Linked DNA regions of Neodiprion lecontei. The protein of the gene in region 2 interacts with the protein of the main gene of each other region in a pairwise test. Links are inferred from orthologs where the notes say so. Each region holds a gene or a part of one and is shown on either strand. Other genes may lie near its edges.

Region 1 (6,488 bases), on a different chromosome or scaffold from region 2:
ACCATTACATGCAGCAGCAAACCATGGACATTTAGAAGTTGTAGAGATGTTGCTGGAAGCTGGAGCTGATGCTAGTCTTAAGAACAGTGATAATTTAATACCAGAAGAACTGGCTAGCAACGCAGCAGTTATAAATACTATACAAATGAGTTACAGGGAATATTCTGCTAATCATTGTTACGATGATAATGACTATGAAGATGAGAGTGATTAATGAAGAAAGGAGCACTCATAAAGGAGTGCTAATAAGTAACCTTTCCTGATGTACGTTAATTCTCTTATGAGCTGTCTCTTCATTGAACATATTACAGGAAAAAAAAAAGGAATTCTGTGTTCATTGTAAGACAAAAGTGATACAATGTAAGTTTAACTGTGAAAAGTTCAGCCTGCATAATAACACACATACCATTCCGAATGTGAGCTCGAAAATACTATTATTATTGTAGCTTCAAGTACGTATTTTACATCGAGGATCTCAACAGAGTACTTCTACCAGGGTATTAATGAATTCTTTAGTATAGTGTATTTTGAAATTTTACAATGTTAAAATTAGAAATGAGTCATTACGTTGAAAATTTTATCAAGAAATAACGTTTTTATTAATTTATAGTTTAGATATAATACATCTGTTTTCGAATTTCATCCGTAAGCTGTGAAAGTATTGCCGATATGTATTTAATTTTGGAGAGTTTAATAAATACTGATATAATAGGTAAATTCATTCTCATAACTAACAATGAAGTAAATAAGTGATTAGGAAAAGACTGAGTATTATTCAAGATATATTCAACAATATGTTAGAGAATCAAGCATTGCTTACCCACTAACAATACCGTAATCGTACTTACTCTAATTAATGTCATGCCATTTGCTTACAAAACAAAATAAGATTCACTTCATGTTTCTGTACCATGCAAAATAATTTACAATACAACTTGCAGCTGAGTTCAGTAATTTCACACTTGAGTAACTCGACGTACTCGAAATTATTACTATGCATGCTTTGCTATTAGTAAATACCTGTGCAGAGCAAATCGTGGTAACTCAAAACAATTAACCAACTTGCCTTGTGCATTATATAAAAAAATTTTGGTCATCATTTTTGTTCAATATGAACAAGTTTGCTGAAACTATTCAAGATTTTCCACTGAACCATCTATTGAAATCAAGTCGCAGTAATAGCTGTGCCAAATGTGTCCCTGCTGGTTGCGCCCGTACTTTGTTCAAAGTTTTTGTTAGCCAATCCATAAGACTATTTAAAGTGTCGGCTAATGCTTTGAGTTCTTCTTTTTCAGTTACTAGTAAATTACCCAATTCCCACATGGGTGCTTGCAGTATGAAATCGTCGCACAGCCGTAACAATATTTTTATCAACTTGTTGACCTAAAAAATTTAGTTGTTTGTACAAGAGTATAAATATATCTGATCCTAGTTTAACTGATGCTGATTAGTTGCAAACATATGTGCTACATCGAAATGTACTGTGATATTTAAAATATGTAACTCGAAAAGAAGTGAATAATTTGGAAAGAAACTTACTGGGTTGACTTTATCACTGGAACCTTGGAACAGAAAAGTTTGTGACATAATGTTGGCTAGAAATACAGAATGTCCTTTTTGAATCTCCTCAAAGTTGCGCGTATTTTTCATAGTATTTTCCATAATTGTGTACTGACTTTCTAGTACATCTACTTGTAAATAATACTGTAAGTTGTTGATAACAAACATCAAGTTGTTTCTCAACTGCATCACTCCAATATCACTGTTTGGAAATACATTAAAAGTTAGTTACGTATTTACAAGAGATTCGAAATTCCTACTTTTGAAGTAATGCCAATATGTGTTTAATTTTTTCGCGACATGAAGTAAATACTGGTGTGGTCGGTCAATTCATTCTCACTACTAACAATAAATAAATGAACTTACACATTTTTTGTTCGCATATGTTCGGACCATAGATTTTGTAAATTAATTTGTGTTTTTTTTACTCTCAACAAAAATCGAAATAATGTATTGTAATCGCACAACGCCATTGGACTGAACAACAAATGTAATGGCCAGACTACTTTGTACTGAAGCTGAATCAGTCCCCATCCTCTTGTGTCTGCAATTAAAAATTTCATGGTCAATTCATGCAAAATGTTGACATTAGTCATGATTCAGCAATATTAATGGGAATGGTTTATTTACCAATGGGGTCTTCGCGTTCTCTTCTTGAAAATTCACCATCTTCTGGATCTTCACCAACTTCATTTTCAATCTCTGGGACAGGAACAAGAAAGTCAAAACTTTCCGTTGTGCTCTCATCATGTAGGAGCATTTTCCGTGCAGCTATTTGGAATGATAAATTTATATCCCTGGTGGTATGACTAGTCGGTTTTTTATTTAATATGTGACCTGCTAATCTAATAAATTCAAGGAACAATTCACCACGACCGAGTAAAAAAAAGTCTTTTATCAGTTTAATTTGATGCATAAGCTGTGCTTCTTCAACCGCAACTCTCCATAAGTGTTCAGTGACACACTGTTTGAGTTCATCAACAGTTCTTTCAAATTCAATTATATCAAAAGTTCTTTTATTTTTCAAATTTTGTAACTCGTGAAAATGCTCGTACTCTTTTGCACCCCATATTGAGTTTTCAGCCTTTGTGAATATACTCAGATCTGGAAATTAAAGTGTTAATTCGTTTTAGAAAAAATTTCTCTATTTCATCTATTTCGAAAATTTAGAAAACTCCAAATATTTTTAATAGAATTGTATGTAAAAACAAATCAGTTTAATACACATCTGTTGCAGTGGATGATAGGTTTAGTGATTCAAGCACAATAACACTAAAAGTATACCTTTCTTTTGTCTGGGATCATTTCCAAACATGATAATAGTTTGACCAATGGTCAATATTTTAAGCGCTAATGATGGCCTTATATAAGATGGCAGTACATGGATTTTTATTTCGTAATCCCACATGTCTGCACATAAATTTTTTGATGATTTTTCATCTGCTATACCAGAACTGTCTTTACTCTTAGCTAGAACCAAACTATCCTGTGGTTTAGATGCTCTTTGAATAAAAAATTCGTTATGAACATCTTCCAGAATTCCGTATAAGAGCCAACTGGATAGTTGTTTATAAAACACGACATGACAGCAATACATCATCCTGAAAGTATATCAAATTGATCGATAATATGAGTCATTTTTAATTTTATAAAAATAGAAGAATCTTTGAGCTCACATACTTTTCTAAAGCCTGCCGCACTTCAGGTACCCCAGTGTGCATGTGTTGATGCAAGTATTGTAATACTTTACAGCCATGAACTTTTTGGGTTCGAATCTAAAACAGTACATGTATCACACATAATGTTTCTTTACTTTGACCTTTCATCTATATTCCTGATTGATAACAAGTGATTTTAAAGTATATAATTCCGACCAATTTTTGTTTTAACTAAAACAAAACGCAAATATGAGTCAACAATTCAGAGATATGTGTACCTCACTTATTATGGAATTCAGAACTGAGAATAAACAGAGATATTTTTGTATTCGTGATAGTATGAAGGTCAATGGCGTGTACGCGTCATTCAGCACGATTTTTTCCAATTCGATAACATCTTCGCGAAACGGCTGTATTGCTTGTTCCATACCGTCACATAAGGCCTGCAGATAAAGGCCCCATTTCAAATTTCCTGTGTAAGCAAAATAGCATCATGTCAATCGTATTGCAATCAGACAGTTATAAAGCATTAACCTTGATATAGTCGAAGATGTTTTAAATTTGTCAATTGTGGGTTAGTGAAAATTCTTGAAGAAATGTTGATAGTGTGTAATTCAGATATTTTGCATGAACAAATCTTGCTAGTTTACTTTTAATGTGAATGTTATTTGGTAATATATTGTACCAGTTGCGTCATTCGGAGCACCAATAACAGACGTATGGGCATTTATAAAATTTCTCACTGCATTACATTCCTCCGCAATGCCTAGAATTTTTTTAATCAAAGCTTGCTCTCCAGGGTGTAGAAGCTTTTCGGTTTCTAAAAACTGTAAACATAGTTTGTCAGATTTTGGAGGTTATATCTTGACAACTGTCAACTCCATAAACGATGCAGTTCTTACATCAGTGTCTATAATTTGTACGACATTAGTCGTGCAACCCCAAAGAGACAATAAAACTTCGTGCAGCATTTCTTTCGCTTCAAAAACACATTTAACAATAAGATCCGTCTACCCAGTCCAGGTTGTTTGGAGCTGTTCGAGCATTGAAGTCTGATTAAATTTGATTTGAGAACACGTCTGAATCATTGGTGTAAACGCATCCACTTCCGAGTTCAAGTGCATCGTCAATTGCACGACCGTGTTTGCATGCGTGTATCGGCATTTAAGGGAAGAAACTTCTCGAGAAATTAGTTAAAATCAGCGGGAGGTAGATATTTATTGAATTTTTTGATTTTCTCTCAAATTTCTCATTAACCTTTGGTGTATCTGTGGAAATCAAAGCACACTTGTTTGCTACAGTCTGCAATGCAAACCGCAATTCGAAAATTGCTATGCCATAGACAATTCCAATTAATCTGCCAATGCAAAAACAATATTTGTAAACATTATAACAACTTCTCGGTAACAATTTGTGAAACGATGGACACTGTTGGAGACTGCCAGCTAGCCCTGCGTTATTTTTGATAGTAATTTGCCAGCTCTACTGGGCAGGTTTGGGTGTAATTCCACTACCCTGCACTTAACAACTGACTCGTCTCATCCCAATCCGCGGGATCCTAATGCAAGATCAAGTCGGCGTAGCAGAATATTGTAACGTTCCCCCTCGCCCTTCAGCAGTCCATAAGGCTAGCAGTTTCGAATATCTTTAGTCAAAAATTGAAGGAACGAAATTGAATGTTCCGAAATACCAGGAATCTTCAAGTTTGTAAAACTTCCGGTTTAGTCGTAGGCATGTCGTAGGTAAGATTTTAATGTTCTTGACTCTTACATGATTGTTCCGTTCTAACTAGTTATAGCAACGTTCAGAATGCGCGTGAATTATTGCCCTACAATAAGAATAATCCTCTACCGTTGACAGATATTCTACAGTTATCAAATTGATTTTTTTGTGTGCATATATAATATAATATACATCTTTATATCAGAGAAAAATCTTTTCTATAATGTTTTACAGTCGTTCTCATAGCCCTGTTGCATGAAAATTACACAGATGGCGCACGTGGACATTGGCTAGCGGTCTATGGCTACCCATATAGAAGGGTGTGTTCCGAAATGAGCTGCGACCGTTGATAATTCATTAACTAGAAACAGAACTGGTGGTCAAACTTGAAATACAACAAAGATAAAAGATTGCTGACAGTACTGTCAACTAATTTTGGAGCATAGCCTTGGAAAAAGATAAATTTTCGGAGTAAACGCAGCCAGTACGCAGTCTATTCCGAACAATTTCAAATAATTGTTTAAATTTCACTTCCAAGTCTTAACTTGAAGGAAACTTGAATAATTCCATGAACCCAGACGTATTGTGATCGTCAAAGGCCACTAAAAGCTTTTCCAAAATACAATAACAATTAAGATAAGGAGTGATCAGTCTTCTGTGACGCTGGACATAAAAGTGCTCAGCATATTACAGCGAAAATAAAAATTTCGGCGTACAACGCGGGAAACGAACGGGAATTTTCTTCAAGTGGTGGGAAGCACAGCAGACAAGACGGCTTCGCAAAAAAAATCGTCGAGGAAGATGGCGGATACGGAAGAACTGAAGGTAGGACGAGAATAAAATAGATCTTATTATCTTGACTTAAACGAGCCACATGTTAAATGCCTTCCAGAAACTTGAGTCATTGATTTTTCCGTGTCTTATTTTTCACCAATTATCGAACATTCACATATCCAAACTCTTCCAATGTCTTGCCAACGCAAGCAAGGCTGCGTTTGATCATACTAAGCGACATTTATTTTCACACGCGGCTTTTCGCTTTTCTTCACATTCGTCCAATTTCCAACTTCCATATTTTCGTAAACGTATCTTCATTCAATTCGGAAACTTCTCGTGTATCTCAAGCATAACACAGGAATGCGGATACGAGACGGCAAGTAGGAGCAACTGATAACTACAATGGGTAACCTCTATCTCTAGCTTATGCATCACGCTATTCAAATAATCAACATATTTTACTCTACAAAATTTTTTGGAATTGCCTCCCCATCTATCTACTTTGGGCACAAGAGTTTACTTTTGTGCACTTCGTATATGGCAGGTTGGGAAAAATTGTCATATTTGATTATATATTTTTCCGACTAGTACTATAGAGTGTAATAACATTTGAGAATATAGCTAGACAGAAACGGTACGATTTTCTAGCAGGAAGAATTTGTCGTTATTGCCTAATGTTGTTATCATTAAAGACATTTTCTCATTCTGTGAAGTCTCAGTTTGTCTATAATTATCTTGGGCTATTATGGCTATAAAAATGTCAATTGTCTA
Region 2 (7,779 bases):
AACCTATTCAATATCAATATTGAATATTGAATAAGTTGAACTTTCCACACTCAACACTGTCATTTGAGTATGATCATACATTACTAAGAATGCTCGTAAATAGAAAACAATCAATGATACATAAATTGATTAAAAATATATATACAAATAAATTTAATTACACCAACGTTAGATCAAGGTGCAGATTAGCTGTATCAAATTCTTACATAACACACGTTCGCAAACACTTCAAGTGAATGAAAAAACTTTTAACCATACAATTTTCGCTAATTATGGTTTGCTTAATGAATACAAACTTATGTATACGATTTCAGTGATGCTTAAAAAAACCTGTCAATGCTATCATTTATACGGAGACAATGCTTTTTCGCTCAATATGTCTTGATGAATGTAACAATACATTAGAATTTCTGAATAGTAAAGATAAAACATTAAAGGACTACATCTGTTATTCAAAATTATTTTCTAAATATAGGTAATTAACTACCTAATTAATAACTACGATATCATGTAACTTGAGAGAGGATAACCGTGAAATTTAGAAATTAGGATAACCTGAAACGGTAGTTACTTTTGATAGTGATAGGACCCGAATCTTCTTAAATTCACAATTAATAAACAAAATATTCTATTATTACGGTTGTGGAATGTTGAATTCTTGCGCAGATGTTTCAATAACTCGTGCTAATTCGCGTGCTTAATATCTTAAGATTTCGTAAAACTAATTTCTGTTTTTACTAGAATTTACCAGCAAATCGTATTACAGCTCTTTATTATACAAAAGCTTGTAACATAGTACGATACGTGCTTCATATTTTTTTTATCGTAGAAATGACCATAAGTATTGTACGATTTGTGTCATTTCATCATTAATTCTAATTCTTCCACCGGGTTAAGTGTGACTAGATTTATTTGGAAAAAGTAAAAAACTATTCGAAATCACTACTAACTGCAATAAATAATAACGTAATTTACTGTGGTAATTTATTTTTTAATTTTCGTAAATGAACTCATCCTGCGAACGCTGCAAACTGACCAATATCACACTTATGCTTATCATGTTATTTGAGCAGATTATTGATTTGTTGAAGCCAATACAAGAACGTTGAGACATGCTTTTACTGGTCATTGTCAAGGGCAACAAGTATATTACTAACAATTAGCTGTCTGCTATTACTATACTATAAATTGAGTATGACTAAATTGGTGACGAGATTTCAAAAACTTATCACGTAATAATCCATTCATGTGAAAAAAATTCAATAGTTGAAGCTGCTGGTGTCATCTTTTTTCTTGAGACACGCTAGCAGTCGTAATAAAAGTCATGCCAACTGTCAGTGAATTTTAAATCGATGATGTCGCTTCTTCTTATGGTTACATCGCCTGTAGCCTTGTCTATATTGCGGACACATCTTTAAATCAAAGTAGTAGTTCCCAATGAACAGTATCATGCGTGTTATCAAGATGAAATTCACTCGAAATAACTCCTAAAAATTAAAACATTTTTCACCATTTGTTTTCCATTTTATTTATATATAATATTTACCCATTTAACTTAATAACTCATTTATTCTCTTGTAAATACAAACCTGAAAACTGGAGGGCATGGGAGCTCTCCATACCTGACTGGAAGTCTGTCAGCAGTCACTGGAAAGACTAGCACTGGACATGTCCTGACACATTCGAGCCTCACTCTTTTCATCCGCCAATGCCTCTATAATATCCAGTAAAAGTTCTCGACTCAACTGCTTCAATTTTGGCAATCGTGCCACCTACAAATTAGGTACACCATTTATGTGATGCTCAAATATCGCTTCCACAGTCAATGGAAACCAAAAATGGTAAATATTTTGTGGTCAAAAATTGGATTAGAACTGATGGATTATTTTTCTAAATTTTAACGAGTACTTGGAAAACGATCCCAATCAACATTTTTCCTCAACTCAATTGTTCAACAGTATTGCACCTACATAAAAAAAAGCAATTTATTTATAATAAGGTCTCATTGATTTAGGTGAAGCACGAGTGCACGTATGTATGGATTTTTTTCCACAGAGTGTAAAAAAGTTAAGTATCACAACAAAGTTTGACATTCAGGAATCAAGGTGACTCAATTTACATAAGTATGCTCCACATATTATGCATTAAACTTTTCTTTCAAGAAATGTTGTTCTATACCTTACTAAAATGATGGACGATCAGATTGAGAGCATATTTTTTCATGTCAATAGCCTGCATTCTATCTGCAGCTTCAAGAATTTGTATAACGTTTTCAAACGTAACATTCATTTCAAGATTTTGCTTGCAAAAGGCTTGCAGGCGATTATTTGTAAAGCCGTAAAATACTGGTGCAGTGAATAGGTACAGAGAGTCCTCAGGAGGCATTAAGACATCTGCGTAATAAATATACCTGAGCAGGGAATCGAATGATTCTTTTGAAGGAATCATCTCTCCGATTTGGATCTGAAAATGGTATTTGTTACAAGTAAAGTACTACAATCAATAATAAGAGGGCCTAGTAATATACTTACGTTCACTATGTTGTCTTCAGGCATAAAAGATCGGAACATGCCTTCGAAATAACTGCATCTAGCGGCAAGGATAGCCTTGTGTGCTGGTATGGGTGTCCCATGCAACATCAGCATAATATCACAAAATTCGGTGCTCGCACTCTTTAAAAAGACCTCCATATCCTGCTCTAGAGTTGTTCCCAACACATGAATGTGTGCAAATTCTATTCAAGAAAAATAAAATTATCACCATACAAAATGTAAAAGCGTCAAGCAATAAGTAATGAATCTATGCTCTAAATAAGACACACTTTGTTATTGTTATTGTCTTTATTCCAAAGTATTCACTAAAAGATTCCTTTAAACACCAAAATTTGGCAATATTAAATAAAGTACCTGTCGATTCGTATGACTTTAGAAAGTTTTTAGCTTGCGGCATTTGCCTTCTTCTTATGATTTCTACCATTAAGGGTTGATCCAATGTTTCAAATTCCTGGCTCATCACTATTTGATTGTAGTTACTGTCCTTGACAACAAAACTCAAGCAGAATTCTTTAATAAAATACAACTTTAAAAGTGCTGCATTATGAAGTGCTTCAAGAACGTTTGCATGACTGATAGTAGCTTCAAGATATTGAACACAAAGTTGTTCCAATCTTTTCATGTGAAATTGAACAGCTAGTCGATAAACGTCCATCATTAGAAGTACGATTCTGTTGCTCAACGGATCTTCTATTTTTTTGGTAGGATCTATTCGATCAGTGTATATGTAGTTCAACACCATTTCAAAGGCTTCCGGCACAGCATCCTTCAATTTGACTTCTAGCAACGGTAAATCTTTGAGCGGTAGATCGGTAATGCCTAAAATTTTTTCAAGATGCTTTTCTCTCTGATCTTGGGCTTGTTTAATTCTAGCTCTTAACCACTGAGATCGTGCGGCTACCATAGCAATATGTGCTGGTATTTTCTCTTCGCTTTCTCCAACAATAAATTGGACGTCGCAGAACTGTTGACTGCTGAGCAATCTTCCAAAATCATCGTGCAGAGTACATTTAGGATAAGAAGAAAATTGAAACCTGTACATCTCACCAGATCTCACATTGTTATCTACAGTGCCTCCAAATATAAACATAGCTTCCCCAATTACTGCTGCAGCATGAAATAATCGTCCAGATGGTACTTGGCTGTCTGCCGATGATAAAATTACACTCCATGTCTGTGTATCCAGGTCGTAACAATGCAAATCATTGGGTAGGGTTGAATCTGCCGTTCCACCAAAGACATAGAGATGCCTGTCAAAACTGACCATTGTGTGACCATAACGGCGAGCTGGAGGAGGTGGAGCACCTCTCAATATATGCTCTGTGGATATTCGAGTCCACCTATTGAACATAATTCATGTCACGCATTATGTCAAAAAATCCGAGTGCTTCTTAATTACAAAAGTCTTGTAATGAAAGTCTGCATTTTTGCATAATGAATTTGGATATTTGTTTGACTAAAAAACTTTATTGATGTTGGTATGCCAATTTCACCGACCTTTTGTCTTTGAAGTGGAACTGAAACAAGCTGTTTGTAATTTTGGCTCCACTCTGACCACTGAAAACGAACATAGATTCACGAGCAACAGCTACAGGGAAATTGCAACACGTTGGTGGACAATCTCCAGATTGCGCAACTTCTTCCCAAACTCTCATATCTCCTGGCTATAAACCACAATGCTTTTATTTAATCAACTCTTACTTTTACATAAAAAAATTTACTATCTATTAATTATAATTTAGTGTGAATGTAATTGACTTACAAGCAGCGATATGGTCCACATATCATTTAATCTAGCATTCCCATCGTACCCAGCGAATATCCAAAGCTTATTATCATACACTGCAGCACCATGGGCTGATCTGGGTACAGGTGTTCTACAGATTTGAAAGAGATACTATGAAAATAAGTATTATACATAGTTCGTAGTTTAGCAATAATATTCCAATGCCAGGTGCAGACATATATATATTCACATATATATATTTATTAGACATGAACAGTCTTGCTCTGGCCAATTACTTCATATCACAACTAGATGCTTGGACATAAACTTTCTGCTCTTCGAATACTCTGCAATTTGTTTATGATTTCAATAGATTCAAATAATGAGAGGAGCAGGTACCATAATTATTATGGAAAGCTCCATATTTTTATCATCGTTGTAGGAATGTTGATAAAGGTCACAATCAACTTACTTTCCAATAAACCGCCACTCAATCCATTGACCAGTCTTGAATTTATACTCAAATAAATCATTCTTGTTGGTTAAATTAGAATTTGAATGAATGTCTCCAGTGTATCCACCAAAAACGAACATAGAAACGTCATAAACTACGGCTGAGTGGTGATATCTTGGTGCTGGCGGAATCCCAGTGGAGAACGCCCTACCCCAAGATTTTTCTTTAACGTCAAACCGTAGCAAATCATTCAACATTTTCTTTCCGTTATCTCCTCCAAATACGTAAATAGCATCTTTATATGCTACTACCGTGTGCTTACTTCGTCTGTGTAGAAAAAATAATAGAGATGGATGTTGACTTATTTACCATTATAAGGGGATATTTTATTATGTTATCTGATGAAGATATCCAAATTTTGTAAATGACTTTCATAAAGTAACGAAACACCTGTTTCTGGCAAACTTTTAGCACAATACTTGGACAGTTGACATCAATATAAGAAGCTGCACAAATGATTGACTGATACTCTTCTACAGAGGATCTCATTTAACTTTATTCAGAATCTTAATATATTGAAACAAATTTTTTGTAGGTGTATCTGCTCCATCAAAGTCATGAAGTATAGCATGTGTGAATTGAAACATTATCTCTAATGCATCAGTAAGCGGTTCAATTGCTGGATTAAAATAGGAAAGCAAACGGTGAAGAGCGATGTTATAACTTGACATAAACTGACATAACCTATAATGCATGAAATGGATTGACGAAAATTTATCGCACCTGGCTCCAACAAATTCATCACATTCTGGCATTTGTTGCCAACGGTGAACCGTTTCGAACGGCCCAAAATCCAGGGTGAGACACTCGGCTGTCGCTGTGTTGTCCATTTCGGTTATGTCGGTAAAATTTCACCCGATTCTAAAGGAGCTTCACAACCTCAAATTATTTGCATTTCCAATTACGTTAATTGTCCGTTCAATAGTTGCATAACAAAATAAGTACTCACTTATCTTTGTATCAGATGAAAGCAGCGTTATATTGTGATTTTGCGAAACGTTACTCTACATCATTATTATGCGTTTGTCACATTTGTATGTCGAGTGTCAAAATCAGGTGGATGACCCTCTGTAGCCAATCAGAAATTCGTATTTTTTCAACCGCGAAATTCTGGCCATTCGGGGTTCTTGTTTATCAAATCGATATTTCATTCGTTTCGAGCTTGCGTGTGATAGACAGAAGTGCGTGGGTTTCATTCATAATATTTCTATCCTCTCCCATTGGCAGGCGTTATTTTCTGCTATCACGATTTCTTTCAGTGCACACTGTCAGTAAGATAATATCCTATATATTATCTTAACTGTCAGTGATGAGATTATTGTAGTTATATTTGACAAATCAAAATCGAAATAGCCTCAGACCTATCTAAGTTTAGTCAATTCGGTATCCCTTAATTTTTTATCATTACTCTTGTGAATATTGGAAGAATTTGAATTGAAAATTATTTGGCAATGTTTCATTGAAATTCAACGTTTCAAGTACTTTTATATCATGATAAGAAAATCGCGCAATTAGACCAGCTCTAATTGTTACACACCTAGAATCTTTCAATAAAAACATCATCTCAATATTATGTTCATGTGCACAATTATATTTTTATTCATGACATCTTTGTAATAACATAAAGCGTATAATAAAAAATATGTATACCTATATATGCATTCACTAAAAAGTTATCTATGATATTTTGTTTCAATTCAGTCGTAGAGGTAATTAAATGATCAGAGATTTTAGTTGTAGACATGTTGAATTGATGAATTAAGAGAAAAAAGCTGGCAGGGAAAGTTCAAACTGCGGAACAAAATCCAACTGTCAGAAGTAATTACTTGTTTTTATCAGGGTCATTGAAACTCTTAAAATATTACGAGATACCAACAAAATTATAACATTCTCTTAATAGGCTCGGTAACACCAAAAATAGTAAATTTCTTTGTGAAATTATACTGATCATTGGCACAACTAAATACGTATAACAATTCAATTTTGTATCAAAACTATATCAAATGTACAAGTTGTCTGTTGGGTAGAAAAAAGTATATTTTACATTGTTATGAAGCCAAATTTAAATCAATCTAGGACCATTTGCTAGTTTGATCACCTCAGAAAAAGTAGAAACATGCTTAAAAAGAATTAAAATAAAATTTTTCAGGGATGATTATTGACAATGTCATTAATATTCACATTGATAGTATTACACTATTTACCAGAAATATTCCGGAAGTAAGTGACTACATTATAAATGAATATACACAAGTATATAGTCAACTGAATACTATACAGGCTAATTATTAACATAAATTATCTACTAACGTTAACTTTATGTGAATACTAGACAATATATGTTACTAAAATATTAATAAGGCAGGCAGAGCCGACGTATTTGTATAACATCTAAGTCATTACTATATTTTAGTCCACCCATTTGAGAGTGAGATATTTTACTTGATCAAAGATAAATAAGGATAAACGAAGCACGGCTATTCATTAGTTTGTACAATTTAAATACAACAGGCAGTTATGTAGCTATTGAGTTAGAATTTAAATAACAAACGTTTGATTTTTAATCTTCAACGGGATCGCTTAAATAATAGTTAGTTATTCATCAAATCTGTGATAAGATAGTTGTAACTATTTATCCAAATTCTTCAAACTTTTTTAAACACTACGATGATTTACATTAACGTTTACTATCTTTTACCTCCCATCCGAACTTCTAGGCTTGTGCAGTTCTCGCCATAACTTTATAACTGTATATATTTCAATTTGTAATAAGAATTTCAACATAGCCCAAGTCTGTAATAGCCCAAGCCACTTAGGATAATCGTAACTGAATAATAAATATGTTTAAATAACTTTAGTTCATCACACTACGATCGGAATTGGATTTTATTCCCGCACTGTGCTCATTTTTTAATTAATCAAAACCAGTTGTCGTTGGACGCTAAGCGCCTTGAAATTTTTTATCAAAGAACAGTTTTGTTTGCTCC

Evidence for each region. The genes of interacting proteins can lie anywhere in the genome.
Region 1: the proteins of leucine-zipper-like transcriptional regulator 1 (region 2) and gamma-tubulin complex component 4 interact in binary tests that used the Homo sapiens proteins (3 or more experiments, as listed by UniProt). The link is inferred for Neodiprion lecontei from reciprocal best matches to the Homo sapiens genes LZTR1 and TUBGCP4.

The regions. Positions count from the first base shown.
Region 1 is NC_060260.1:32,567,854-32,574,341, forward strand, and holds gamma-tubulin complex component 4, read right to left. Parts: upstream 4,896-6,488; 5' UTR 4,190-4,895; coding exon 4,121-4,189; intron 4,046-4,120; coding exon 3,904-4,045; intron 3,691-3,903; coding exon 3,497-3,690; intron 3,336-3,496; coding exon 3,241-3,335; intron 3,162-3,240; coding exon 2,845-3,161; intron 2,665-2,844; coding exon 2,191-2,664; intron 2,105-2,190; coding exon 1,927-2,104; intron 1,763-1,926; coding exon 1,540-1,762; intron 1,384-1,539; coding exon 1,135-1,383; 3' UTR 540-1,134; downstream 1-539. Other genes in the region: osteoclast-stimulating factor 1, read left to right, coding at 1-214; E3 SUMO-protein ligase PIAS2, read left to right, coding at 5,815-6,093. UniProt on the Homo sapiens protein: Component of the gamma-tubulin ring complex (gTuRC) which mediates microtubule nucleation.
Region 2 is NC_060262.1:24,978,912-24,986,690, forward strand, and holds the start of leucine-zipper-like transcriptional regulator 1, read right to left. Parts: upstream 6,010-7,779; 5' UTR 5,742-6,009; intron 5,672-5,741; 5' UTR 5,623-5,671; coding exon 5,516-5,622; intron 5,060-5,515; coding exon 4,751-5,059; intron 4,430-4,750; coding exon 4,315-4,429; intron 4,217-4,314; coding exon 4,050-4,216; intron 3,893-4,049; coding exon 2,907-3,892; intron 2,735-2,906; coding exon 2,532-2,734; intron 2,464-2,531; coding exon 2,179-2,463; intron 1,773-2,178; coding exon 1,638-1,772; 3' UTR 1,590-1,637; intron 1,488-1,589; 3' UTR 1-1,487. UniProt on the Homo sapiens protein: Substrate-specific adapter of a BCR (BTB-CUL3-RBX1) E3 ubiquitin-protein ligase complex that mediates ubiquitination of Ras (K-Ras/KRAS, N-Ras/NRAS and H-Ras/HRAS).